Linked DNA regions of Notamacropus eugenii. The protein of the gene in region 4 interacts with the protein of the main gene of each other region in a pairwise test. Links are inferred from orthologs where the notes say so. Each region holds a gene or a part of one and is shown on either strand. Other genes may lie near its edges.

Region 1 (7,433 bases), on a different chromosome or scaffold from region 4:
CTTAGCACAGTGCCTGACACATAATGGGTGCTTAATGATGCTTGATTTAGGAAGCCAGCATAGACATACACCTCAATGGAAAACCTTCAAACATACAGAGGTGCAGAATGAGGCATTCATTTTGCACATGACCAATATGAAATCATTTTGTCTGTCTGAATATTTGTTGCAAGCCTTTAACTTTTCTTTCAATTGGGGGTGGTAGGAGAGATAGGGAAGGTATGGATAGGATTCCCCCAACCAAAAAAAAAGAAGTGGAAAGAAAACAGAAGGAAAGTTATAAGGAATCGTTGATAAAATAGGACACCTTTGGAAGTTACTCGTTGAATTTATTACATACTTGAAAGAAAGGTAAGCTGTACATAATAGAAATTTACAGTTTCACGTATAAGCCCCTCCTGCTTCTATACTATAGTGTATATGAAAATGCACACTTTATTTGATGTTAGCTGTTCAAAATAAAAATAAAATTTTGTAAAAGCTTTCAATCATATCAAGCCCTCTCCCCAGTATATGAGAGTATGGGGCACAAAAGAGGGCTCCCTGGATCCCACTATACTTTTGCCTTCTTCTCTTCTCTAACAGGAGAAGTGGAGGAAATGTATGTGCCAGGAAGGCTTATTGGTCAGAACCATTCCTGCACTGGGTACTTTCCTCATGGTCTGGCCCCTAAAGGGTTAGGATGAGCCAAATTCTCTTTCCCTTCAACCCATCCCCCACCTATTAAGAAGGGAAGCAACATTATATCAGTCATACATGTAAAATCATACAAAATGTATTAGATTGATCTCTATCATGGCAACCAACCTGTGAACAATGTCCCTCTGCCAACCCTGCCTAGTTGGGTTGATTTCTGGCTATTTAGTTATCACAAGTATTCAAAAACTAAAAAAAATCAGAAAGCTTCAACCCCTTTTTGTAGGAAAGCACTAAATATCAGAGGATGTTTGTCCTCTCTCGTTGTATAGTCTACACCAGGTCCCTGCAACACACAATTCACCTCTCTGTCAAACTTAGAGTAAGTGAGAGATACCTCCTCAACTTTTGTACTTTACCTGTACTTTACATACCTCACAATTATTTTCTCAAATCATTTCCTTTCCCTCCTTCTTCATCCATCAATATAGACTTGAATTCAGCCTTTAGGAGCAAAAGGGCCCCAATGACAGCAGTTATTTTTCTGTTCCCTCCTACTTCCCTCCAGAGAGTCTGTTTTTGCAATGCCACTCACAAGCTAAGCCAGAGGGAAAGGAAACGTCTGTGCTAAGGGTCCATGCTCCTACCTGGATGAAACATAACACAGATTTCTTTTCTAAAACAAGGCAGAAGGGGAGGCAGAAGAGCAAGCATGTCAGAGGCAGGGGGCATCTCTTGCAAACCTAGAGGACATGCTGCCAATGAATACTTGTGCCCTTTCTGCAGCCTGGGAAATGTATCTGACCTGGCAGAGGGCAGCATTTCCATCTTAGCCTGAGGTGTCTTTCCCATCAGCTAGCTGTATCCACAATCTAGCTCCTAAGTGAGGGACAACAGAAGAACTAGTCTGGGTGATGGCTTGCCCTCCTCACTCCATGGCCTGAGGAAGAATCGTGGTTGGGGTGGGGCTGGGCAGACTGGCAAGGCTACACAGCTTGGAAGAAGGCAAGGGGTATAAAGATTTTGCCATGGATGGAGAGTGGAGCTGAAGGGAGTATGTTATGTACCTTCCTTTTTTCCCCTTCCTGGAAGGAATAAGAAGAAACAACTTTGGCCGTACCCAATTTCCCGGGTGATACCAATTTGGGGGAGGGGGAGTGGGTTGGAAAGGTAGAAAACTAAGGATCTCCTATTGTTGACTGATGACTTTCCCCGTTGCACAGCATACACTCCGAAGAATGGTTCCGAGAAATAAAAGGAAAGTAGCCCCTCTGACGGCTCCTTCCTAGCTGTGGCGACCCTTCCCCCTCTGCCCAGACCCGATCCCCTGACTTGGGAACGGGCCAACTACCCTTCCCTCTTCCCAAACTTCTGGCCACCAGCGTGCTGCTGCTTGCTTGGCCTTACCTGCAAGCCCTTGGTCAGTGGGCAGAAGAGAACCAGATGCACCAGACGCCGCAACCTCCTCATCCTGGCAGGGACTGAGGCGCAATGCCCGTCGGCGGGGGTAGGGAAGAGGCAACAAGAGGCCACGGAGCCCCGGGAGCTGCCCACTGCAGGCCCTAGGACCTGGATACGGGAGAGGGGCTCGGGGCACTTCGCCTCCCTTCCTCTGGCCGGACTGCTGTCTTTCTGGGTCCCCCTCGTTCTAGGGAGCCCCGCTAGGGGCGGGTGTCTTCAGCCCCGGCTGCGGCGGCCAGCCCCCAGCCGCCGGCGCCCCCGCTCCCTCTCCATCCCGGCCGCCCGCCGGGGCCGCAGCGGGCACTGAGCACGAGCTGGCGAGGCACGAGCCCACGCCGCCCCGCAGCCCGGCGCGGCGTCCCCAGCTCCCCCACGGCTGCTGCAGTGCTGCTCGCCGGTCACCGGCTCAGCCTCGCCGGCCCCCTCCCCGCCTCCGCATCCGAGCCCTTCAGCCTGCCCGCTGGCCCCTAGACCGGGCGCACGCCGCCGGCTCGGGCCGCGAGGAGCGGGGAGGGGGAGGCTGCAGCAGCAGCGGACGCCGCTCCTCTGCTGCTGCCGCCGCCGCCGCTGCTACTGCAGGGGGGATGCTCCGACTCCCCGAAGCTTCCCAGTCGCCTGAGCCGGGTGCAGCGCTCCCGTTAAAGGGGAGGGCGTTTGGCAGCTGGGACTTTTTGACTGCCGACCGAAAGGGCTAGTTAGGTTGGGATGAGGGGAGCTGGATGGAGGGAGGGGGAGGGGGCAGGGATTTGGCTGTCGGCTTCTAAACCAGGCCTCACCCTCCCTTGGGTGCCTCGTGTGCTGAGGTCTCCTCCCCCTATCCCCACAAGTTTTGGTTTTGCTGGCTGTCCTCATGAAAGACCAAATAGCCCCGACCTTTCCATAGGACACTTAGGACGTGTCAAAGGCATATGGTGTAAGCCTTAGCCTTCTTCCTTCCCAGGCTGAGGGTGGGTTTAAGGAAGTAGGGAAGTGACAAGCATTGGCATCGGATCCTCGCCCCGCCTCCCCCCCCCCCCCATCCTGTCTAGTGACTTTCCCCTCTCCTGGGCACCTTCGACCATCAGTGGGTTTGAATGGCTCCTATCATCGAAGAAAGTTACATAAATGTGAGCAATTGATAATGATATTAAAAGCTCATTACATGACACCAAAGAAAGAGCCCTGCATTTGGAGTCCAAGCACCAGAGTTCCAGGTAGGCTCTTAGGCTACCTACCCCAGCACCCTTCCTGACCAGTGTGTCTCTTCTGTCCAAGGTAAAAGGAAAACAATTTACCTTTGTATGGGGCCTTTATTTTTACAAAGTGCTCTCTCCCGGGCAGATTAATTCATTTGATCTTCACTACCATCTCCAGAGTCAGATAGTGTAAGTATTATTAGCCCCATTTTGCAGATAGGAAAACAAGAGACTCCCAAAGTTTAACTGATTTGTTCTTTTACTTAGTAAGAGCAGATTAGGGCTGAAATCTTTGCACCATATCACAAGGTTTCTGCAGAGATGAAGGACTCAGTAGGAGATACAGGGGAATCCCAGAGGCTTTTAATAGTTTGAGGCTAAGAGGAAGAGATCAAAAAAGCTTCTCTGGAAAACCCCATTCTACCCCTCCTCTCTAGGGGCCTCCCTGAAGATGAGGGTTTTTTTTCTAACTCAGTAATTGACCAAGTAGGCTGCCAGCAATGGCAAACCACTTCAGTATCTTTGCCAAGAAAACCCCAAGTGGGGTCAGACACAACTAAAATGCAGAGTCAGACACAACTGAAAGGACTAAACAACAAAGGTGCCGGGGGACCACGGGTTTATTTTTGTTCCTCTTGCCTTGCCTTATGTCTGCTGTTCAAATCTTAATGGATGTGACTCTGTCCTTGGGCTGAGTTGTACAAGAGAAACTACATCAAAGACCACAAGGTCACAATCTGGCTTCTTTTTCACTTCTCCTCCCTTTCTTGACCCTGCCGTTCCCAGAGATTTTCAGTTTCTCTGCCTTTCTGAAGGGCATCTCAATCTCTTCTTGGTCCACTTGAGTGACCAGCAAGGGCTTATGTCCTCTAGAGGTCTGGATACCATGATAATGCTGGAGGTGATAAGCAGGCTTGCTCCAACTTTATCCATCCCTTTGGTTCTAGCTTTTTTCCGAGAAAGAGATTGCTATCCCTAACTCATGACCATTAATTAAAGATGACATCCTCTCCCAAATCCCTTTGCCCAATTTTTTAAAAAATCAAGTGGTCAGAAAAATCTCAAAGATAGACACACACCAACAGACCACATTTATTGGGGGGCCAGAACGATGTTAACAGGTTCATATCAGATCAATTATTATAAAAGTCATAATTCCACAAGAAGATGAAAAATGAGAGCTGGGTAGAAATAGGAAAAAGAATCTTAAAGAAAGACAGGCTGCTTCCAGCCTTTGGGAAGACCCCTTGTAATAAAGGGGGAGGGTTCCCTAGAGGTTCTCTTTTGTTTTCAAAAGACCTCTTAGATCTGTTCTGCAAATTTGACATTCTCTGCTTCAACAATCCAGTTTTCCCAAGGGTTAAGACCCATTCCCACTGTAATAAGATATAATACAGCACCTTGTAATAAGGTGCTATAAAGCCTTTACTTTAAGATTCCCATTTAGTTCTGGAGTAGTTTTTGATTTCTTAGATCAAGGAATTTATGAGGTGAAGAATCTGGTCATTTGCTTTCTCCACCCATCCTAACTTCTATGTAATCTATTTTCTGCTGACAACAAGGTGTTTGATTCAGTAAAGGTGATACTACAAAGCTGGAGTACATGATAGAGCCCTTCCAAGTCTAGAACAAGTAAACCAGCCTGATGGGTACAACTGTATCAGTAATATGAAAAAGGTCAGGAGTATTTTTCTGCCCTCCATGGGAAGGACATGTATAGTATTTCCTAGCATGTAAATAGCATGATATACTGGGAGGTGCCTGGTACATACTAGGCACTTAATAAATGCTTGGTTGGTTGTTGTCCTTCATCTTCGAAGAGGACCAAAGTGACATCACCATGATAAAGTGAAATTTCAGTGTATCTGACTGTGGCTGATCAAACCAATATGAGCTCAGAAAGCTCTACCACAGGTTGGGCACAGATAGTCTGTGTGAATATTTGGGGTGGATATCCCAAATTTGCATATCCTGTGTTTATTTTGTGCTGTTTCAATTCTGCTTTGCTCAAAGAGCACAGTACCCTTTCTGAGGTGGGCATACCATGCTAGGTGGTCCTGTGCCAGCGTCTCCCATGTTGCATAGTCAAATCCAAAGTTCTTGAGAGAGACCTTGAGAGTGTCCTTGTATCGTTTCTTCTAGCCACTATGTGATCACTTGCCCCATTCAAATTCTTCATAAAATAGTCTTTTTGGCAAACGTACATTTTGCATTAGAGCAATGTAGCCAGCCCATCAGAGTTGCGCTCTCTGAAGCATAGTTTGAATACTTGGGGTATAGAGTGTGTTCAGGGATGAGCAGTACATTTGGTGTGATGGCTGCTGAGCCCTTTTCGGGGCTCTTTCCAACCTTTAGTGTCCACCTGCCCCACCTAACTCTCACTTGTGCCTCCAAGAAGCTGTAGCATGCACAGTGGCCACACCCTGGTAAACCATTTCAGCAAATGGGCCAAATCAGGTTGAGGGTAACCAAGGGTTCTCAAACTCATTGGTGAGTTAGGGGGGTGTCTACCCCAAGCATGTGAAGACTTCCTCTGGTGGAATGGGCAGATGAGAACAATTTGTTCCAATGGCCATGAAGGCAGCTAAAGCAGGTGATGTGGAGCGCTTAGAGCTTGTTTAGACACTGAAGACGCCAAGGTCATCCACTGCATCCTGAGCCTCTGCCAGCCATCTTGACTCTGTCCTGCCACTGGACTATGATTCACTGAATGACAAAGGTTCAAATTCTGTCTCTGCTACTTACTTATTGACCAACTGGGTGCATTACAGGACTGACCTGGAGCTAGGAAGACTCATCTTCCTGAGTTCAAATCTGGCCTCAGACACTTACTAGCTGTGTGAGCCTGGGTAACTCACTTAATCCTGTTTGCCTAGGTTTCCTCATTGGTAAAATGAACTGGAAAAGGAATGGCAAACCACTCCAGTAATTTTGCCCCCCAAAAAACCCAAACAAGACGGGTTCATGAAGAGTCAGACATGACTGAACAACAAATCTACTCAGTTGTGTGGTCTTGAGCCAATTACTTAAGCTCTCTAAGATTTGACTTCCTCTTTTATAGAAGTAAAGAGGTATGCAGGAAGGAACAGATGATCTTTAAGGCTTCTTCTGGCTCTGAATCCTATGACCATTGTGGAAGCATATTTAAAACCTTTTTAGTTTCTTTAGAAATGTTAAGTCATAATATTTTCCTCTGAAGCCTTTCTTATCCTTAGAAAAGTGATTGATAGATCCAGGACATAAAAGACTTTTCTTAGGGATATAGATTAAGAGTAATAACCAAATTTAATTCTTGTAGTGTTCACCTAAGAGCCTCCCTACCCATCTGAAGTGATTGGTGCTAGAAGCTATCCTTCTCCATTGAGAAAGAATTAATAAAGAAGGAAGGGAGAAAGTCCCTTTGTTTAACTCTAGAAATGTGGTGTTGTTGTTGAGTTTCAGTTGTATCTGACTCTTTGTGACTCCATTTGGAGTTTCCTGGGCAAAGAGACTGTAGTGGAGAGGTTTGCAATTTCCTTCTCTAGCTCATTTTACAGATGAAGAAACTGAGGCAAACAGGATTGAGTGACTTGCTCAGGGTCATAAAACTAGTCAGTGTCTGAGACCAGATTTGAATTCAGAAAGATGAGACTTCCTGACTCCATGCCTGGCACTCTATCCACTGTGTCACCTAGCAGTAGCAGGACTGTGTGGGAATAGGAACAGGATTATGACTTGATCAATTCTGGAATGTTAACCCAGACTATATTTTTAAATATCTGATCCTTGTTCAAGTTTCCTATTATTACCTGAAATCTTGGGGCAGAGTCACATGTGGAGGGACTTTGCAAGTTTGGACATTCCTTTCCCCAAACTAAAAGTGGCTTGGATATAGATTTACATGAAGTAAAATTGTTCCTGACAGATTTGAACCTGAATCACAGAGTACATTATTAATATTAATTTTTTTCTTTGACACCATCGATAGCGAACTACTGATGTGAATCACTTAGGTAGAGACTGACAAATTGTTTTTCCAATCAGGACATTGACAAGGAAAAAGAAGCAGAATTTGAAAGGGTTTCCGGACTTTTAGATGGTGGTAATATGTTTCCTTACTCTTTATAGGAACATTCTGTTTGGTTCAGGAAGCTGCTTATCTTGAACCTGGGTTCCTGGCTT
Region 2 (7,048 bases), about 240 Mb from region 4:
CCATTTCTATTTTCTTGGATAAAGATCTGGGACCAAGGTATTGGGGATTACATGTGGTGGTTCCTCTTGTACTACAGATAAAAATGGAAAAAAGAAAAAACACAAAGAGTGCTAAAGGAAACTGTCAGGAGGACAACAAACAGGTTATACTTTTGCAGGAAATGATGATAGTCAAGATTCGTACCTTTGCCTTTTTCTTTTCCATTTTTTGGCACTAATAGCTTGTTTGATTTTGTCAGGTCAAAATAAGTGCAATTGCACTCTTATTTTAGCAAAAAAGTGGTATACCAAAGAATAATTATCTAATACAAATGCACCCTTACTTTTGGAGAGGGAAATGGCAAACCATTCCAGTGTCTTTGCCAAGAAAACCCCAAATAGGGTCATGAAGAGTCAGACTTGATTGACTTGATTGACAATAAGCCCCTACTTTACAAAGTAGCTGCACTCTTGAAAAGTTGAGCATAAACTGAACTTTTGTAAAGTTAATATTATTTTAAAATATATCAGCCCAGTATAATCTAAAAGGATCCCCGAAGTGAAGTTGTGAGCATGGCAAAGAATTATATTGTAATCCAAACTATTACTAATTTATCTGTTAAATAAGCCTAATTGAAACAAACAATGTTAGTTTTTCTTTAAGTGGGGCAGTAGCTAGAGTTCTGTAGGTTTATCAAAGAGAACCATTTTTACCATAGTTATAGTAAAATAAATGTATATTGAGCTGTAGCATATTACAGAATTAAATTAGTTATATTTTATTCAATTTTAATTATTACAAACAGCATATGCAATATAAAATCCTAATGAAATTCATCATTTTGGAAAAGTATATAATTCTACAATGAAAATAATTTGTTTTTGTTTCTTCTGCTTCCCATTCAGCCCCAGAAATGGAGAAAATGAAATCATTGCTGCTCTATCTGCATTAATAAAAATACCTTGCATTCATAAGCTGTTACAATCAAACCTTATATAGCACTGGCATGTCGTATGCTCATCAATGTATTACTTTTCCTGTGGGTTCATTTATAAAGTTTGAATTTTACTTATTCTGTCTTTCAACAGAAGCATGGTTAGTTATCCCTTTCCAAAGCAGGCAGACCAAATTCCCATGATGGTAAGGCAAGAAAACACTGAACCCACTGACTTGTTGCTCCCTACCCAGCACTGGATACGTACAAGTCACTCCACAAACAATTGTACAAATGTTCACTTGCCATCTGGGATTGTCTGACCCTGAACAAAGATGTCAACTAGGTTTGGATTTTATCACACATATTACGGAGCCTGAAAACACAGTCACCCTATTAATGAGCTAATGCATAATATTTATGATTAGACCAGGGACACTACTGTATAATGCTTCCAAACTTTTTTTTAAAAAATCTAATAGCAAAACACATTATCTAATTTAAGATTCATAACAGAAGCAAGAGACTTTCCTCTCTCAATGAAATATTTCTAAATACTTCAAATTTCTAGATATTCCAAAAACACAATCATTTTTCACAAAATTGTCTTTAAAACAGCAGGTTCTTTAATAAAAATGTAACCTGGATATTGATAGCTTAAAAAAACCTTTTATCTTTAATAAAATAAATATCATTAGAAAACTAATGGTTATATTCCATTGCAATAATATAATAATTATTTCCTGTGAAATTCATTAGTTGTCCTTGCTTTAACTGGGTCCATTTTCCTTTTTTTAGACTTAGAAAAATAACATTTATTTCCATTTTACAGATTGGGAAACAGGAACAGGGTGACTATGTCATAAAGCAAAGCAGTAAGGGAGGCAGGATTAAAACCTAAGATGCACATGCTCACTCCAGTTACCTGAAACCAGGTTCACACTTAAGTTTAAGGAATATTAAACTCCCTAAAAATTGTTGACCAGAATTTTGATTCCATCCTCTCTCCCCTTGATTATGATACAAATATGAAAAAGCATGAGGCATTAAAGTTGCACATTATACCTTTACCCAGAAGCCAATCTCCTACTTACTATAGATATTGTCTGTCAAACTTGGATTGTTTTGTTGCTCTATTATGGGCAGAAGCTTAATAAATTCCATTTGATACTAAAGGAGAGATGAGAAGTTGTGGGCTAGGTTAAAATGTGTTTTAAATTCCAGTCCTTATTGTACTCACTGTAAAATGTAACTCACCACACTGACTTTTTCCTTGCCATTTTTGTTTTCCTTTAAAGGAAAAATACTCCTGAAAAATATCTCCCGGTTGGGGCCTGAATTTCAAACATCGACTTTGAAGTGAGATCTTCAGGGGGTGAGATAAATATGCAGAAAAGGAATTCCTGAGTAACACAAGATTCAGGGGATTTTGCATATGGGGGAAGAGGGAAGGATGGGAAAACAGACTCACCCGCATTAGCTGATGCTGCATTTAGGTCAAAGGGCGTAGTTTCAGGGGCCCGTTTCCCAAACCAAGGACAAGTGCATGCAGTACTTGTTTCTGAGGTCACCTTCAGGGACAGGTAAATTATATGGGTTTGGGGGTGGGGTAGGGTGTCTTCGGTACCACGGACAAGGCCTGTCAAGGGGGAAGCAAGAAATCAGGGGAAGAAAGGGAAGGGAAGGCCCACCCAATCCACGTCTAAGATACGGAATGAGGGAATCCCCCCGGCTCAAATCCTCCCACTCCTCCTCCTACCCGGGTGGTTCTAGGCAAATCACTGGGACCTTCCGGGCTCTCAGTTTTCTCAAAAGTAAAATGAAGGGGCTGGACTAGGTGGCCCCCGAAGTCCTTTTTGGATCTAGATCTAGGATACTCTGGCTCCTCGTAACCCACCCCCAGGGTCCCCACCCCCGAAGCCGGACACCTTCGTTCTCCCCACCCTCTCCACCTTTTCTAGCCGCTCTCGCTCTTAACAGCATCGGTCTCTATGGCGACCTGAAACCCCGAATTCCATTGGCCCGTTCAATATGAGGGCCGGGCCAATAGGGTGGGACAGCCTTTTCCTGCCGTCCAATGAAAGCGGGTGCGGAGCAGGTCGGGGGACGGCGGCGTGCTGACGTTCCCGGGAGCCCTAGGCTGGCTGGCTGGCTGACTGACTGACTGACTGGGCGGTGGGGGCTGCTTGGCGGAGCTCGGCAGCACCCAGGCACCGGGGCTGATTCCGTGCTGTCGCCGAGGAAGGTGGCACCATGGGCACCGGGTAGAGGGGGAAGTTGGCCGCCGCCGCCGCCTCCCGGGGGTGGGGTGGGAGAAGTGTTGCAGGGGAGGGGGCGGGCGGGCGGGAGGGGGTTCAGCGGGGGGGTTCGGGGGAAGGGGAGGGAAGCTCCCTTGGCCCTGGCACTTTTTTTTTGGGTGCCGCAGCCGCGACCCCTCCGCGCGGATGTCCCCGATTCCCGGAGCGTCGGCAGCCGCTTCCTAACCTGGAAAGTAAGTGTGCGGCAGGCGGGGAGGGCGCCGAACCTTATCCCCACCCCCCACTCCGTGGCCCTTCACTTCCCGACTCCTGGTACTGTTCCCTCGGCTCACCCCGCAAACCTCGGGATCGGGGCGAGGGTGGGGGAGGGTGTGGGAAGGGGAGACTCCCGTTACAACCGCCCCCACCCACCTACTTCTCTCCTTTCCTGCCCCGCCTCGTGTTCCTGCCTGCACTCGCCTTCTCCCCTCCCCCCCACCCCCCAAGGCACTGAAGTTTCCACCTCCATTTGCTTTTCCCAGGATTTTTCCCCCTTCCCTTCTGCTTACCTCTCTACCTTCCTGGACTGTGTATATATTTATACTCTCCGGTCTCTCCCTGGTCTGTGGCTTTCAGATTCCGCCCTTCCCCACCAACCTCCTCTCCCTCCTCCTCCCCTCCGACTAATCCTTCCCTGCAAATCTGCCCTTGCTCCTTTCCCTCTCCTGTCCCTTCTGGCTTTATGCCCCGTACTTTGGCTTCTTCTTCCTCTTCCCCATACCCTCTTTCATTCTGCCCTCACCTTCGTTTCTCTTCCCCACTCCCCCACTCCTTCTTCTCTAGTAAAACCTCCTGTTCATCTGATTTGCCCTAAATTCTCCATCTCCTACAAGCCTTTAAACCCCTGTCCTCTTCCCACCAGTCTTAACTGAATTCTGGAGAACTGGTTAGATCTTCCACTTTGCTTTGCGCTTTTCCTTTCTTTGAACACCTCTTCTCCGCCTCCCCTACCCCAATTCCAGCGTGGAGGTCTGTCTTGCACCCCTCACCCCTTCTTGGTCATCTTCCACACACCCTTATTCTCTCCGTGAGTGTTGCTTTAGCCCCTTTCCCCCTGATCCGCACTCCTGCATGTACTCCTCAGTTCACTTCTCTACCAGTCTTCTTTTGCCTCCTGCACATCTTTTCTCCCCCGATCCCCCAGGCTCCCCAACATGTTACGCGCAGGAGTTGAAATAACGTTTCCTCGGCCGTTGGGCGGCTGTCTCGGAGCAGCTTTTTGCCACTAGCCTCCTTTGCCCGGGCAGGGAGGGGGATTTGGCTCGGATTTAGCTGCGTGTTGGCGGAGTGCGACAAGCCGCCGAGTGCGGCTCTGAAACCGTGGTTGTAGCCGCTTAGGGCTGATGAATAGGCAGGTGTGTGTGTGCCTGGAGGAGACGCGCGCTGTTTGTTCCTCGGGCGGTAGATTGTGTAGGAATGTGAGGAATGCTTTGGGGGCAGAGTATGCACACCCTGCCGCTGCCGCCGCTCCCTGCTCAGCTCTCTCCATTAGCCAGAGGTCACTGGAGCATCTTCTCGGGAGCTGGTGAGGCTCTTACTTTTCTCCGCCTCCTTCCCTCTCTCCTTGCGGCAGAGCGGGCACTGGGGAAGTGTGACAAGCAGATCTGCCTGCCGTCAGCCTGGCAGGCAGTATTCGTGCTTCGGCTCGGTTTTGCGGCATTTTTCTTCAGGAGGATGAATTGGGGGGAGGGGGAAAAAGACTCCCACTTAACAAGGTCATTGGTCGTTGAATCTTCTCAAGTTTGGTTTGCAGTGTTTCATGAGTGTCTGATTTTTGTGTGCCACTGGGTTCTCAGAGAAGCAGAAGGTGGATGTTTTTAGGATGGTGCTGTTGCAAACAACATGGTTAGCCGTTTTAATAATGTCTGTTAGTGCTTGTGAAGGGAGACATAATCTGAAGATTTGTGGACCTCAGATGTCATGAGATTTGTAATTTTTGATCCTGCCATGCTGCTTTAGAATCCCATATAATGCATAATGAATAGAAACAGAGAGGCAGTGTTTGACCAGAGATGGGACAGATAGAACTGTCTGGTACAGTTAAATTAGGGGCTTGTCAATTACCTTTTGAAATAGCAGAGAAATACAATGAGATATAACAATCACAGACATGTCTATTCCAAGATTTATATTTATTAAGAAAGGTCATGTTTCTGGTTTTGTAATTATCCCAGTCCTTTTAGGAGAAGGGGAAGAGGAAAAGAGAATAACTTTTAAGCATGGTGGCTCAATTGAATAAAATGAAAAATTATTGGTATGTTTTTTAAGTGAAAAGTTGATTTTTTTTCTTAACATGAAGGAAACAAGTTGAAGAATGCTTTTGATATATTTTTAAAGAGAGGAGAATTTTTTCGTTTGCAATATTTTACATTCTCTTTCATTTGGCTATGTGACTTGTCTTTTTGGTGACACTTTTAGTAACAAGGTCACAGATGATTTTGTACAAGTACATTAAACAAAATTTGTTGGAAGCTTTCCTTTCTGGTGTTGTAGAGAAACCTTAATGGAAACAAACAAAATTATTGTCTGGGGGGAAGGAACGAAAAGTAAAAGTGATTATGTATGTTGCTTTGAGAGACCTACTGTGTGTGCTTTATATGGGACACATTTTGCTTTTGAGAATGTTATCTATAAACTCCTCCGAAAATTTTGGATCAGACTCAGGAAAATGATAAATTTATTTGCCAAATTAAGATATTTTTCTGTGATCACTTGGCTTGTATTGAGCCATGAAGAGTATAGCATGAAACTTTTGTATGAAAACTGGACAAGGCAAAATAGAAAACAAAAACTTAGAGAAAATTACACCTTACCACTGAAGCTTTCTTATACCTATGTTTACAGTTGATGAACATTCTAAATTAAGGGTCTGCTTGATATCTATCATTGTAAAGGACATAGATTTTTGTAATTGTAGCAGCAAACTTTTATTATGTAACATTTTAGAACCAGTGACAGTACAAGGTAAATTATATTGTTATTTGATTTGAAATTCATTCTAAAGGATAGAGAACAGGTTGTTTCCTTGCTGTATTCTCTGTTGCAAATTGAAATAGCTATATATATACTGTATACATGTTTTAGGTAGATGGTTTTAACTGCTTGAGAGACCTTTCTGTATTCAATCATGCATTCTAAAGTTTTGATTCTGTTTATAGAAATTGCTCCATTATGTTTGATTCACAAGAGCAGGGGTTCTTCACCAAAGCCTAGTCTCAAGAGTAATGTTTTTAAATGCATAGAGTAAACATAGGATCACATAGGAAACAATTGTATTGCTATAATGATGTAATTTTATTTTCCCATCCAAGTTTTGGGACCCCCTGAAATCTGTCCGTGGTGTGCAGTATTAAATTCTGTAGTATTGAGGAAGGTACTGTGACCTTATGACCAGAGATGATAGAAAATAATATAACTTGTGATTTAATTCAAAATACAAAATGCTTTTTCACTATATTCTAAGATAGTTTTGTAGGTCATACTACAAAATCCAAACTGCAGAAACTGCCCTATAATCTCATTCATATTTTCTTGTAAAAAGGTGATAAAGATGTTAGTGCTACATTTGGATTTTAAGAGAAAATTTAAACAATCATATGATCGTAAATATTATATTAGCATTTGCATTTCATCTGGAATATACCAATCAGTTGATGAAATAACATTTGGGGAATTTTATAAAATCTAGGGTATGTGTTATAATCTGCAAATAATATCTCTGTTCCTCAGGTTGTTTATTTCTGTTATAGAATTAATGCCTGTATCCCTCCCTTTAAAGATGAATGAAAGGTTTATTCAAGATTCTTCCAGTGCATAAACTACCCATGGGAATTGTTA
Region 3 (7,466 bases), on a different chromosome or scaffold from region 4:
TCTGGAATGACATGTTTTTGAAGAAACCACACTGACTTTTTGAGATTACTTCTCCCTTATTGAGAAATCATCCATCCTTCTTAACATGTTCTAGAATTGTATCAGGAATCAAATTTAAACTCATGGGCTTATAACTTGCAGAGTTCATTCCCTTCCCCGCTCTGGACAATCAGAATGTCCTACGAGCCCCTTACTAAAGGCACCTCAAACTTAACATGTCCAAATTCATTTTTCCCTCCCAAACTCAATCCTATTCCAAAGACATGATCACCTTTCCAGTCATCTGAGTTCAAAACCTTGGTGTCACCATCACCTCTCCATTCTTATTCACCTCATATGTCTGGTCAGTTATTCACTGTTTTTTCTACTGCTAAAATATTTTCCCCCTTTTCAACACTCATACAGACATCACCCAGTTTAGACCCTCATCACCTCTTGCCTCGATTATTCTAACAGCCTCTAGATTACTCTTGACTCCAAACCATCCTTCACTCTGCTGATCAAAAGAGATATTTGTAAATCACTTGGCACATAGCAAGGTGCTTAATAAATATCTCTGCCCTTCTCTCCTACAAAGCCTAGGTCCAATAATCTCTGCTGCTGGCTGCTGAGTCCACTACAAATTAGTAAAATAATTTCAACTGGAATCCCACTGAAGCAAGGCAATTCTTTTATCTCCCTAGTTGAGTCACTATCCCAATCATAAAAGGAGCTTTCCCAAACATTTTCATCAGTCTGCAGGCCCCACCTTTTGGGCTGAAAATTTAATGTTTCACTGAACCTTCTTCCTTTCTTAGTCCAGGGCCTAAGGTTCTAGCCCTAGGAGTCATCTTAGATTCTTCAGTCTCATTTCCCTCCACCTCTCTCCATAGTCAATCTGTTGTCAAGCCCTGTCCAGCATCTCTGGAATAGGCCTCCTTTGCTCCTGACACTGACACCCTCCTCTCCTCACACCTGGACTATTGCAATAGCCTGCGGTTAGGTTCCTGGACTCATGTCTTTCCTCACATTTCAATCTACCCTCTACTCAGCTGTCAAAGTGATCTTCCTAAAGTACAGGCCTGGCTATGTTACCTCCCTATTCACCTCAATTCAGTGGCTCCCTACTACCATCAGGATAAAACATAAAATCCTTTGTTTGTGGTTTTTAAAGCCCTTCATAACCTTGCCCCTTCCTACCTTTCCTGTCTTCTTATATCTTACTAGCCACCTTGAGCCTGCCCTCCCCCCAAATAACCTAGTGAAGTGACACTGGCTTCCTTGCTGGTTCTCAAACAAGACCCTCCATGTTTCTGTATTCCTAACTCACGTTACTGTCCCTGAAATAGTAGGCTTCTTAAATCTTGTAGAACTCCAGAATCCTCCTGGAACTGTAAGATATCACCCCAGAGTGGCTGCTAAGCAAGAACATCAGTCCATTCTTTCAGTACTCTGAAAGCAATTGTTTGGAGTCCTGTAACTCAAAATCCTCAAAGTGAGCTAACTGTTCTGCAACTTTTTTCCTATTTATCTCTGCTCGATCATCTCCCTATTGGCCATTTTTGTGTTTTCCTTTCCAATCCAAAGATCATTTTCCTTAGTAGAGAAAGCAAAAAAAATAAAGAGTCTGGTAGCTCTCCTTTCTGTGGGTGGCCATCGTTTCATTTACTGAGCACCAGGCACTTCTTTGAACCTCTTTCCCCCCCAAATCTTGTAAGCTCCACCAACCCTCCCATAGTTCTCTGCACATACAGTAAGTCTCTCCTTTCCTTCTCATCAGAAGTATTTCTTGGGGTTTTCACAATTCATTCTTTCTTGCTTCTTATGGCTCCTAGGCAGGCTTTCCAGGTAAAATTTGAGTCTGTGGCACCCTATCCATGCTTTGTCAGAAAACTTTGAAACCGACTCTCCCAAAACAAGTCCACTAGGCCCGGCTTTCCTGGCCTAATCTATCATAAACGCTAAAATGGGGTGGCCACTTTGTCTAAGATTCCCCTCATTTCCCCCCAGCACCCAATCCTTTTCACTAGTGGCTTCGTTTTCTGAAGCACGAAATGAGGCCTTTGGGCTAACCCCACCAATTCCACAACGGCCTCTTCACCGGGCTGTGAGCTGCTTCTAAAAAGAAGGGTCTGAAAGGGGGAAAGGGGGAGGGAGGAGGAAGAGGGGATGGAAAGGAGGGGGGGAGCTGCAACAAGTGGGACTGAGGGGGGTGGCAGAAAGGAAGGGGGGGAGCAGGGGGAGGGCAGGAAAGGGGTGGGAGGGGGAGAAAGAAGGGACGGAGGGAGTAAGAGTGGGCAGCAGGCAGGGGCCAAGGGAGGAGGGGGGGGCATGGAGAGCGAGGGAGGGGCTGGGGGGTAGGAAGAGGGGATTCCAGAAAGAAACTAAAAGCAGGAGACTCCTCGCTCTTCGAAGGAAGGGGAGGGGAGCGGCGGGAAGGGGAAGCGGGCAGGGGGTGAAAGCAGGAAGGGGTGGGGGGTAAGCCGCCAAGAGCGGAGCGCCCCTTACCCTTGGAAGGAAGGGGATCAGAGAGGGCCGGGAGCAGGGCCCAGCAAAGACCTGGAGGGAGACGACAGGTGTCTGGGCCCCAGGCGGGCCGGCCAGTCTCCCTCGGCCCCTCCGCAGCGCGGCCTAGAGCCGGCCCGACCCCGGGGCCGGGGGCCGGCGTTCCCGCTCGGACCAGGCCTGCATGGGCCTCGGGGAAGAGCGGAGGGGGCCGGTCGGGGAGCCTGTGCGCGGGGCGGGGGGCCGGAGGGGGTTACTCACCCGGGGGGCCCGGCTGACTTTCCCCATGGGCCGGAGCGGCAGCGGCAGCGGGGCAGGAGGTGGCTGGGGCAGCCGAGCCGAAGTGCGCAAGCTCCGCAGCTCCACCAACCGCGTAAGGGCAGAGCGGCCCCGGAAGCCAGGCGGGAGGATTTTTTAACGCGAACGGCGTAAGCGTCAGGAGACGCCACGGCCGCGGTCCGTACGAATCCCTGCGCCAAATGCGTGGAGGAAGCGGCGGCTCGCGGTCGGTAGCGGGGAGAGCGCGCGTCAGGGCTAGGCGGGAGGAGCAGGCGTCTGCTTGTGGGGCGACATCTATCGGTGGGAGGCCAGGAGCACGCCTCACTCTCGCCTCTTTCCCATCCTCGCCCTAGGTTCTGAGCTTTGGGGAAGGACCCTCGGGCGAGCTCTGCCCCCAGTTGCGCAGGTGAGCGTTCAACAGGCCATCCCATCCCAGAGGTAAAACTTGACAGCACCTGGCCCCTTTCCTGCTACCCTCCCTCTGGCCTCGGTCCTTCTTTCTCTGATGGCTTTGGGCTAAAGTCGTTCAACACCCCCATTTCCCAGATGAGGAAACTTGCCTAGGATCCCAACACCTAGTAAGTGTCTGAGGCAGGATTCGAACTTTGGTCCTGATGACTCATTTGAGGAGGATGGTGCTGATTTCCAGCCTGAAGGGAAGAAAAGTAACCCCCACTGCCAGTCACTGGTCGTGCCCACGTCTTTTCTGTTTCTACAAACAACAGCTTTTTGGGGACCACAGCTTTTGGTCTCAGGTTTTCCTTTAATTGTTTAGGTTGCTGCGATAGCCGCTTCATATTTTTCCTTCCATTTGGCTGCCTTCTTTTCTGGAGGTGGCTTATTCTCTGCAGCAAAATCAGGCCACGTTTCAGTTTCTTTTTGCAGATGTGCCGCAGGAGGGAGAAATTGTGCTGCGGGATCAACCTCCAGGCAGCAGGGGGCGCCGTGTGAGCGAGGCGGAGAGGAGACAGTCTAGCTCCACGAGTGGGGGCGGAGCCTCGGCTCCTCCAGCCTCTACCTCCCCCTTCTAAGGGGCGGGGCCTCCCCAACCTGTCCTTCTTCTGGCTGTCCTGCCATTAACTCCTGTTTCCCAGTGTAGTTTTCTTTTATGGTTTCTTGAAATAAAGCCCTGGAAAGCCAGGCTTGAATAAAGTCCATTGGGGATCAGCTGGAGCCAGCTGACCACATCCCTCTGGCTCTCACTGATTGGCCAATAACAGGTCCCCGCCCACGCCTCTAGGTCATTGTTTGGGCTCTGATGGCTCAGAGCATGGCCAAGGCTTATGCTATGGTCTTCCCCTCCTTTTGGGAAGGCAAGCTAGGCCATCTTCGGCCTCAATTCTTACCTCGCCTTTCATTCCTGATCCGGCATTGCCTCAGACCAAGTGAGACCTGGGAAGGACCCAGAAAGGCCAAGGTCCCCCCTTGCGCCCTGGGCCAGCCCAGCCTGTGTCCTGCCAACGGTACCTCCGAGGGGACAGTGAGGCCCTCACCTCAATCCAGGTCACGCCCCGCTCCTGATATCCCTGGTCCTCTTCAAGAACCCAGGACGAACAACAACTCACTCACGCCTTGCAGTAACAGTACTAGTTCGAGCTGGCTTATAAGTTCACAGAATTCTTGTGAGACAGGTAGCACAAATAGGAGTCTTCTTTGTACAGGTGAGGACCCCGAGCCCTAAGAGGGGACTGGTAAGTGTTCCGAGCTCTGCACTTTGTAGGCAATCCAGGCTCTGGAAATCGACAAGATGTGCGCTCGCTGTGGGCCGGGCGCTGCGGTGAAGGCTGGAGATGACGAACCAAGGCGAGAACAGCCCTCGGCTCCCGGAGCTCCTAGTCCGGGTAACTCACCAGGCAGACCATCCGAGAGCAGAAGGCGCTAGGGACTGGAGAGACCAGCGAGGACCAGCCTTCTGGAAGAGGCCGGGAAAGCTGAGGTCAAGCAAAGAGAGAAAGTGTTTCAGGCTAGTGGAAAGTCATCAGGAGAAGGAGTGGTCTGTTCAGGAACAAGTAGGATGGAGGGGAATAAAGTTTAAAAAGGATAGAAAAGCAGGAAGGGGTCAGTTTAGGAAAAAGCTTTAATGACTAGACAGGAGGATTTTGTATTTAATCTAGGGGGCAGTAGAGATCCACTGGAATTTTTTGAGTAGAAAAAAAGCATCTTGGCAACTAAGTGGAAGATGAATTGAAGGAGGGATCACAGACTCCAGTTAAACATCCAGTTAGAAAACATCCTGTTAAGTGATGTTCAAAAGACAGATGGTGTCTGTTCAAAAAGAAACCAAGTGTCCGGTCCTAGTTTTTCTCAGGAGGAGGGAAAGGGGAACTCTTGGCAAATGGTCTCAAATTTTTCAGTGACAGTAAAAGATAGGATAGTCAGCTTGGAGGGTGGAGTTAAGGGTGGGGCAGAGAGGGTACCATGGAAGACTGCAGGAAAGATGAAAAGGTCTGGAACAGCTGCTTTGATAGTGAGATAGTAACTTGGTAAGGAGTAGAAAAATGGTTTTTCTGTATTGAAAAGGAACTATTATCCCCTAAGGTCAGCCCCTAGGCATAGTCTGTTGGGGCAAAACAGAAAAGGATTCCCCTGCTTGCCTGCTTGCTCCCTCTCCCCCTCCCTCAACTTTTCCCAAAGAATGGAAGTTCCATAAGGGCTGCTTATTAAATTTCTGCAGTTGAACATACCTGAGTTAGGTAATAGGGATACGTGGACAAAAACAAAAAACCAAAAACCGAAACAGTTTGTGCCTTTCAACAGCTGGGGGATGGGGTAGGAGCACAAAAGAGTATACTACAGATAAATGAATATACAAAAAACCCCAAAGTGACCTCAAGGTGGAGGGATACTAACAATTGGAAGAATCAGGAAAGGCCTCTTCTTGTAAAAAGTGGCTTTTGAGTGGAGTCTGAAGGAAGAAGAGGGACAGACTTAAGGGGATGGGATGGGGTGGTGGTGGGGGAAGTCTTTGCAAAGGCACAGAAGCAGCAGTCGGAACATCCTATTACACAGAATCTGTGAAGGGGAATAAGATGGAATCAGCCTGGAAAGACAAGTTTGAGCCAGATTTTGAAGGGCCTCACTTGCTGGACAGAGGCGTTTGTTTTCTTATCCTCCTAGGGACAGTAGGGAGCCACCCGAGCTTCTTCAGCCTGAACTGAGCCCAGACCTGAGTAGGTCTGGGATTTAAGAATATCAGTTTCTCAGCTAAGTGGAGGATGGATTGGATCAGTAAGAAACTGAAGGGCAAGAAACCAGTGAAGAGGCTATTTATTGTCAGCCAAGGCTAGAGGTGATGAGGCTTGAACTTGGGTGGTTGTTGTATGAACAGAAATAGTAATAGAATGCAGAGATATGCACCAATAGGAAATCACACCTGTACAAAACTTAGGTGAAAACTAGGTTTATTACAAAAGGAATGTGGAAATGAATGTGAAGCAAAAAGTTCACAATTATTACAGAAGTTTTCGTTTTTATAATTGTAGGACAGAGGGAGGAGGGGATGCCAGAAAAGAGTGTGACATGGGAAAGGGACCCATGCAGCAAGGCGGGGGAGGAGCAGGCCAAGGCAAAAGCCACATTCTTTTCCCTTGGGAATTGCTAGACTACGAAAGACAGGAGGGTCTGCTTATCTGCAAAGGACCCTGGCTGCACAAACATTGTCCTAGCCTGGCACAGACTTGCTGGCACCTGTTTTGCCTCTCAAGGACACACAGGGAGTCCAGCTTGGGAGTGCAATGACAAATTATGTCAGCTTCATCCTTGACACGTTTAGGGTTTCCTGCATGCTCTGGGTTCATTGTTTCTGGAAAATATGGCAACTCAAAAAGACAAGTTCAGGGGACCCCTTAACATCCCTTAACATGTGGTAGAGGCAGACTCAGTAAGACCTTTCCATGAATTGGAGATAGGGAGGGAGAGTGGGAGAGTAGTTGTGAACCTGGGTGACTGACCTCCCTTGGTGTCCTTTAAATAACTAACTTACTGCTTCTCTGGACTCTGGGCATTTTCATTGGCTATCTCACATGCCTGGGGTTCTCTAACTACTGCCTTCTTCAGCTTCCTTCAGGTCCTTGCTAAATCTCCCCTTCTGGAAGAAGTCTTTCATTATGTTCCATAATCTGTTATCAGTTTATCTTGTTCATATCTTTTTTTTACCTGGCTGTTTACATGTTGTCTTTTCCACTAGACTAAGAACCTGAAAAGGAAGAACTGTCTTTTGCCTTACTTTGTATCCCCAATGCTTAGTAAAGTACCTAGAATATAGTAGGTACTTAATAAATGTTTACTGACCCACTGGTTGTAGTGCCTTTAGTAGAAATTAGGAGAGGGGTTGATTGGGAAAAGGTTAATGGTTTCTGTTTTGGACATGTTGGGTTTGGGATGACTATGAGATATGCACAAGATGATGTCTAGCAGACATTTGGTAATTCCAGCCTAGGGGTCAAAAGAGATGAGGGCTATATGTATAGATTTGGAAATCATCTGCAGAGAGAGATGATGGGTAAATCTGTGGTAGCTAATTAGATCGTCAAGAGTCCCACTGTCAACATATATATATTAATGCTAGGCACTGAAGAAAGGCAAAAAAAAAAAAAGGTCCCTGCCCTCAAGGAGTGCACATTCTAATTATCAAAAGAGATGGTAGAGAGAGAAAAGAAGGCCTCGGTCAGTGTCCTCACCCATAGAGGGGGTGGCTTGGATGA
Region 4 (7,531 bases):
ATCTTTATAGATATCTATGTATATGTACATATATCCTTAATCAATTGTATCCTTCTTTGGGGGGAGAGGAGAAAGGGTTTAAAAAAAGCAAAAACTACATAGTAGTGTACAAAAGAAAACCTACAAGGAAGTCAAGAAAAACTGGGCAGCTCTTGGTTTTAGATAGATACTACTTAACATTTTAAGGAAAGCTCCATTTATTCTTGTGCTTTCTAGCACTTTTAGCAGGAATGGGGATTGTATTTTGTCAAAAGCTTTCTTCTATATCTGTTGAAATCGTTTTTGTGGTTAATGTGTGCTGTCTTGATAGAGGCAGCAAATTATCTGAGCAAGATCAATTTATTAGCTAGACTAGCAGTAGCCAATAAATTGGGCGATGACTCTTCAGCAGTCAAAGACGCTGAGGAAGGGCTGACCCAGTCTTCTATGGTGATAAACAAGACCACAGAGCATAGGTGTTCCTTCTCCTGATTAGCTGGAAAGCAAAATCTTTTGACATCACCTTGATATTGATTGCTTAGACCTCCCCTTCTCAACCCGCACCCCCCCCCCCCACCCCGCCCCCAACCACAAACAAGACTGTGATTTGGGTCACAAGACAAAGGTAAAATGATCCTGAAGGATAGAGGGTTCTATGAGGAGGTGGAGTAAGTGTTAACTCAGCTCCTAGGAATAACAACATTCTTGAGAGATTACATTAGTTCTCAAGCTGTCAGAGTAGTGGGCAGGTAGGTGGGGTACTGGATAGAGTGCTTGGCCTGGAGTCATCTTCCTTAGTTCAAATCTGACTTCAGATACTAGCTGCGTGATCCTGGGCAAGTCACTTAACTCAGTGTGCCTCGGTTTCCTTATCTGTAAAATGAGTTGGAGAAGGAAAAGACAAACCACTCCAGTATCTTTGCCAAGAAAATCCTTAGTGAGGTCAAGAACAGTTGGACACAACTGAACAACACTCAGCTAGTATCCTGTGCTTAGTAAAGGCTGCTCTTCTTCCCCTTGAATCTGTGACCTGGGACTGGGTAATGGGTGACAATGCTGCCAGATGGGCAGCCTTTCCTGCCCCCAGCACTAGTTCTGGGGTCCCCCAGATCTCTTTCTGTCACTATGATTGCCTCTTATTCTGGTGCTGATGCCAGTCTTCTGGACAACCCTCACCCTAGAGTCAGCAGAACCCCCTTTTTGTCTTCCTAAGCTGGCTGGGGGGGTAGGGGGTGGGGAGGGAGCGATTCACTGTAACTTTGCTTGACTTTCTTGATCAGAATTCAGTTTAGTACATTTTCTAGGTTGTTGTGGAAAAGATGTATTGAGATAACTAGGCAATAATGCTGATTCTCACTGCACCATCTTGACTCCGTCCTTGTCCAACCATTTTGGAAAGCAACGGACAATCAGGCTAAGAAAATGACTGAAACGTTCATATCTTTGACCCAGAAATCCCTTTGCTAGGCATGTAACTTGTCAGCTCTGAAAAATAAATGCTCAAACAGCCCACAGAGGTTTCAGCAAAAAAGCTTTACTCCAACTGTCAACTGAAAAATTAAACAAAACACCAAAGAACTCACAGAGGTTATAGATAAAAAGCCTTCTGTATTCCATCACAGGAGGGAAACTAGACATGCATGCTGGGGCCTGATCTAAGACCAAGGTAGCCCAAGACAGGGAGGCTAATCCTTGATGTATACAGAGGTGGCATGACAAAGAAGGAAGCAGTGAGGTGTAACCACTACAATGAGGTAGAACAGCAACAATGTGGCAATTTGGCCTCCAACAAAAAGTCCATTCATCGCAGCTTCATGACCTGAATGTAATTCCTGCAGGTGCTTGCCCAATCTCAGGGACCACCTGGGGCTGGTTTGAGACAGTTCTGTGGTTTAGCTGCAGCCCAATTCTCCCAGAGGGCAAGTGCAAAGAACTGTTACTATGCCAAGCTCAGGGCACAGCTTGCTTGCTGGGCCTTCGTCTGGAAAACTGTGTCCTGACAGAGGAGCGAAAAGAGAGGAGTGGTTTTGGCGTGCAGGTCCTGACAGCTAGCAATTGACTTCTTCACTGAGCAGTTCTAATCTACAGTATTTAAAATATACCTTAAAACTCATATTCCCGCTGTTCTCAAACTGAAGTTGGATCTTGATGGGGAGGGTCAATTGTTTTCTCAGATGATCGTTTTCCTCCCTAAATTGTCCTTTACATAATTGACACAGGAAGTACTCAGGAGAGTACCTCAGTGATGGACCTATTTTCATTTGCCTTGATGACAAATGCTCATTTAGTTCCTGGATACCCAGACCCAACTATGGACTTAGGTAAGGTTCTTGAAATGTGCAGTTTTGCAAAGGACCACTTTTTGTTATGACTAGTGACCCAGGTGGTCCCCTTCCACAAAAGGCATCAGCCTTGGATTTCTACAAACCAGGTTCATGCTGGGAGGGATCCTATACACTAAAAAAAGAAAGGGAGGTCAGGCTTCTGTTCTCTTTCTCATCTTTGATGTGGATTAACTTCAGTGAAATCTCTAAAACCAAAGTTCATGTATAGGGTCTCCCCAAGGTGGTAGAAGTGTCCATTTCAAAAAAGTTACTCCCTGTACAAATATCAATTAAAAGACAATGGTTTATTGTCTCCACCAGAGAAAATACTTAAAACACTAAAGATTCATAAGCCTACACAAGTACAGAAAACATAAATCCTCTCAACAATATTCTCCTGAAGGTAAAGGCATTTATTTAGTGAGACTGCTTAACAGATCTCACATTCATCCTAGACCTACACTGTCTAAGGAACTCTCCAGATGTCCAGGTCGGTTTTTTATTGTTTACACTTTAATCTTCATCTATAGCATCCTTCTTCTCCAAGAAATGGTGATGTTTTGGAAATAAACTCTCATGAGATGACTGTTATGGAAAGGGATTGAACCAAATGAGCTCTGAGTTCATCTCTTGCTATTCTAGATCTATGATCCTATGAGAAAGGTAGGGGAAGAACATTTCTTTATAGTAGTGTACTGTTTGGGACTGTCTTTTACTTTTCACTGGTCCCAGAAAATCTTAGAGCCCCAAATGTGTCAGTTGTATGTAGGTCCCTCTGGCTTAAGTTTAGAGGACATCAAAATACCACAGTGTAAGAGAGTAATATGTGAGAGACAGTAAAAGTTGTTTCCACAGTGAGTTATTGTTAATTGACGAAGTCATTGAGAATAAGTTAGAAAATAAGAAGGCCAACAGATTGCAGGTGGATTCAACCAGTCAAAAGACAGACAGACAAAATGACAAAATTTTTGATAAAGGAACCAAATCTACAGCTATCTGAAACTAGACAAGAAAAATGACCTAGAGTTGCCTAGAGAAGGCTTGTCTTCACTGCGCTTGCTTAATGAACCTCATGCATATAAGCAGACATCCCACATAAAATTATCCCTCCATTTTCTGATCATGGATCCTATGTTAGAGCATGTTTGGGAGGGAGGATCATACCAAGGGGCGTTACACAATGGGAATGTAGAGAGAGGGTGACCTAATGGAGGATGGACCAATCCATCTCCTGGTGGGAGGATCTGTCTTCGAGTAGCGGCATACAGCTCATCCTGGTGCTGTATCCAACGCTCCCTCCTCCTCCTGAAAAGAGGATGGCAGCCAAAGTGTTCAATTCCTCCAAACTCTGCTGCAATACATTTTCCTTGATACTTTATTAGAGTCAGGGGTGTTTCTAACAAATAAAAGGAGGTAATTCGTTCCTTCTCTCTCTAATTGTACTGTCCTATCTATACTTTGAAACAAATACCTACAGTTCAAAAGCAGCCTGTCTCCTTTTTCCTGTCTTCTCTCCCCTTCCTCCCTGTCCACCCTAACGAGAGAGAAGTTTCACTCTAGCGGTCCATGAGGGGAAGAGGATATAGAACGCAGAAAGCAGAACCAGAAGTAACAACGTTATAGAGACAAACAACTTGGAAAGCCTTAAGAACTCTCATCAGCACAAAGATGGACCAGACGCCAGAGAACTGATGCTGAAACAAGGTCTCCGTCCCCCAGCTCGGAGGGAACACATTCAAGGGGCACAACGAGACCATTTTCAGCCAGGGCTGGAATTTTGTTTTTCTTGAATACGCATGTTGGGTACAAGGTGTTTTAGGATTTATGGGGAGAAATACTCCCGGGTCCAGAGAGAGCCGATGAGGGCTGGGGGCAGACGGACGCATATTTGTTCACTGTTTTTCTCGGTTTTTCACGACATGGCTACTGTGGAAAGTAAGCTTTGCGTGATTTTACACGTCTAACCGACATCGCATGTCTTGCCTTCCCAATGGGTGGAGGAGGGGGAATCGAGGAACATAATTCGAAATTCAAATTTAAAAAAAAAGTTAATGCCCCAAATAAAAGAAAACAAGGTTTGGTTTGTTTTTCCTCAATGGATCAGGGAGATGGAAGAAATGAAATCTGGGTTCCTCATAAAAAGAAAGTTTAATTTTTTAAAAAAATTCTGCTCGAATCCAAGCCATAGCTAAGCGTCGAAGAACAGCAGGCGGCGCCTCCGCATCGCCTCCCGCGAAGGCTCAGGGCGGGTCGGGCCTCCCGGCCGGGAAAGAGGGCTCCACCTGCTCCGGGAAGGGCGGTGCGGGAGGAGCTGGGCCGGCCGGGCCGGACCGGGAGCGAGCGGACCCGCCCTCGCCGGGGCCGGGCTTCGTTCCATTGGCCGAGGGGAGCTCGGAGGCGGGGCCGGCTCCCCCATAAACAGAGGCTGCGAGGGCCGGCGGGGCCACACCTGCTCCGATCTCCGCGGACCTAGGGAAGAGCCCCCTGGTCGTTCGCCGCCGCCGGCCCCGGGTCATGCTGCCAGCCTGACTAGGAAGAGGAAGCTCCCGGGAGACGAATGAGGAACCACCTCCTCCTGCTGTTCAAGTACAGGGGCTTGGTCCGCAAAGGGAAGAAAAGCAAGAGACGAAAATGGCTGATTTCGTGATCCGCCCCGCCACGGCCGCCGACTGCAGTGACATCCTCCGGCTGATCAAGGTAGCCCGGCCGCCGCGCCCGCGGAGCCCGCCTGGGGCCGTCTTCTTGGGGGTTAGGGTGGGAGAGGACCTAGAGGACCCTAGACACCCGGGGCTCCCCTCATCCCTGCAGGGAAACTTTCTGAGCTGGCCAGAGTCCCGTAGGAAAAGAGAGAGACGGAGAAGAAGGAAAGAAAGAGAGAGATTCTGCGTGGCAGGGACCGTGCTAAGGTCCGGGGTCGGAAATCCAGACCAAGGGAGTGACAAGGACAGGGACAAACTTAGCAGAACCTGCGCCCTGTCCGCTCACCGCCCGGGTGATGGTCTGTGCGGCCGGTGCACGGCTCCGCCCACGCCGGTAACCAGCAGGCGGCTGGATTTTCTGCCTGCCCCTTCTGGCGGAAATCTGGGAGTTCGCATTTTCCCCCCTCACTTAGTTTCAGGTCCGTTGCGCGTGTTTAGAGTGGACCAGGAACTTGGCCCAGACTTCTCCCGCTCCCTGAGCAGAGCTCTTGGCCCTGAGCCTGGCGCTGCAGGTGCTGAGACAATAACCCTGCCTCTTGGAGATAAAAGGACTCCGGGTTCTTATGTGTTGTTTTGTCTCTCTTCTTTCCCTTTTTATCTGCTCTTACCAGGAACTAGCAAAATACGAAGAAATGGAAGAACAAGTAGTGCTAACTGAAAAAGGTAACTCATTTGAAAGGAGGTTTGTCTAATAGCCTTGGTGACCGGCACCATAGCCATTAGCCATTTTCTGTCCCTGTTGGCCTTTCTTATAGATCTGCTTGAAGATGGGTTTGGAGAGCACCCTTTCTACCAGTGTCTAGTGGCAGAAGTGCCCAAAGAGCATTGGACACCCCAAGGTAACTAACTTTGCCCCACCTGTCCTGTTCTTTCTCTTGCCCTTCTTTCTCCCCACCCCCACCCCAGTAGGGAATCAGAAAGAGACAGGATGTTGATATAATGTCTAGTTTTTGCTTAGAACGGTTGGCTAATGCAGAAGGTTGAGAGTGTGCTTTTGGGAAAGGTGGCCAGAAATAAAGCAATCCGATGTTGAAACTAGAAAACCAAAAAAAGTGGATGTAGTGCCATTCTAAAAATAGGGTGAGTTAAAAGAGGTGTTTGTCAGCAAAATGCCCTACGTATTCCCCGGAAAACTGGGTATGATGTCATTTGATGTAATTCAGTTTCATAAAATAGTTCTTGTTTGACCCTAACATAACCTTTTTCTGTAATCGTGTTGAATCACATTTTTTCTTTAATTTGTCCCAATCTTCAGGTTACAGTCTCTAGCTTCGCCATGTACATGGCCCTTCTGTGTACATGGATGGGCGGGGAGGTAACTAAAAGATCCGTTACTCAATAAAGTAGATGATCATGATAAATGAGGTAAGGCCTAGAGGGACAAGTCCTCTTCCCACACAGTGTAAAAACCAAACCAAACCAAACCAAACACACGGTAGATCAGAAATTCCATTAGGATCTCTTCCTGGCTGTGTTTACAAACCAGGGTGAAGTGGCTAAAACGTTTAATTTGACCACTGACTAGTACGCCTTTTGGGACTATTGGCAAATTCCAAAAGTTAAGTCAGCTGTTTGAAGTTGCTGGCTCATTGTTTACTGGATGGGAAACTCAGATAAAAAGGGAAACTCTCTAAGGAAGGCGGGGGTGGAGGCTGTTTCAGGTTAGGAGGTTTGGTTTTTTTTTTTTTTTATTGGTGGGGGTTCTGTGTTGGGTTTTTTTTTCCCCCAGAAATCTGTTCCTTAAAGTAAAGGGAAGAAATAGGCAGCACTTTCACCCACCTGGCAGAGGATTAAGTGTGAAGTGCTTGCTGATCCAAGGTACAAGGAGGTCACTTAGCACTGTTTATCTGCCTCTTGTGCCCTGAAAAACTGGGGAGAGTAAATTGGAAAAAAAAAAAAAAAGCTTCTGGAATTAGCTGAAGCTACTGGCATGGTGTTCTAACCTCAAGGAAGTAGAGTTCATGAACTCCTTGTACTTAATAATATTCTGAACTGCCGTGTAAACTCGATTTATATTCACAAGTGGACATACCAGTAACGCAGTAGGTTGGGAATAATGTCTGTATTTACATAAAGGTCATAGCAGCTCAGCTCTCGAGCCATTAAAACTGTTGGAGTTTCTGTGAGGGGTCCAGGAGATTGCAGAGTGGGTCACACATAGACAAAGCGGTTATTCAGAGATGTCAGAATTCTTCTCCTGCCTCCAGCTCTAATGTGCGCTTCTTGCAAACTCAGAACAGCAGGGTAGCCTAACAATGGATCGTACTGTTCTAGCATAATGATAGCTGCATGCAGAGACTGACTGTGATAGCAGCTTAGTTTTCAGATCCATGCATGTAAAATTCTAAAACCTGTAAACATTCTGAGTGTGTGGCTACAAGTGCTATGGACTTTTTCTCCTGTTCTTTTTTACTAAAATTCTGTGATCCTCTGTTCCAGGATACAGCATTGTTGGCTTCGCTATGTATTACTTTACATATGACCCATGGATTGGGAAACTGTTATATCTTGAAGACTTCTTTGTGATGA

Evidence for each region.
Region 1: the proteins of SAT1 (region 4) and DIPK1B interact in binary tests that used the Homo sapiens proteins (3 or more experiments, as listed by UniProt). The two-hybrid records come from large-scale screens. The link is inferred for Notamacropus eugenii from reciprocal best matches to the Homo sapiens genes SAT1 and DIPK1B.
Region 2: the proteins of SAT1 (region 4) and CCDC148 interact in binary tests that used the Homo sapiens proteins (3 or more experiments, as listed by UniProt). The two-hybrid records come from large-scale screens. The link is inferred for Notamacropus eugenii from reciprocal best matches to the Homo sapiens genes SAT1 and CCDC148.
Region 3: the proteins of SAT1 (region 4) and RBM17 interact in binary tests that used the Homo sapiens proteins (3 or more experiments, as listed by UniProt). The two-hybrid records come from large-scale screens. The link is inferred for Notamacropus eugenii from reciprocal best matches to the Homo sapiens genes SAT1 and RBM17.

The regions. Positions count from the first base shown.
Region 1 is NC_092872.1:489,126,436-489,133,868, forward strand, and holds the start of DIPK1B (divergent protein kinase domain 1B), read right to left. Parts: upstream 3,021-7,433; 5' UTR 2,107-3,020; coding exon 2,044-2,106; intron 1-2,043.
Region 2 is NC_092876.1:217,434,222-217,441,269, forward strand, and holds the start of CCDC148 (coiled-coil domain-containing protein 148), read right to left. Parts: upstream 3,013-7,048; 5' UTR 2,867-3,012; exon of another isoform or gene 2,843-2,866; intron 2,818-2,842; exon of another isoform or gene 2,674-2,817; intron 2,554-2,673; 5' UTR 2,386-2,553; intron 1-2,385.
Region 3 is NC_092874.1:178,123,492-178,130,957, forward strand, and holds the start of RBM17 (splicing factor 45), read right to left. Parts: upstream 3,008-7,466; 5' UTR 2,746-3,007; intron 1-2,745. UniProt on the Homo sapiens protein: Splice factor that binds to the single-stranded 3'AG at the exon/intron border and promotes its utilization in the second catalytic step. Involved in the regulation of alternative splicing and the utilization of cryptic splice sites.
Region 4 is NC_092876.1:453,304,839-453,312,369, reverse strand, and holds the start of SAT1 (diamine acetyltransferase 1), read left to right. Parts: upstream 1-4,517; 5' UTR 4,518-4,934; coding exon 4,935-5,000; intron 5,001-5,613; coding exon 5,614-5,665; intron 5,666-5,757; coding exon 5,758-5,841; intron 5,842-7,441; coding exon 7,442-7,531. UniProt on the Homo sapiens protein: Enzyme which catalyzes the acetylation of polyamines. Substrate specificity: norspermidine = spermidine >> spermine > N(1)-acetylspermine. This highly regulated enzyme allows a fine attenuation of the intracellular concentration of polyamines.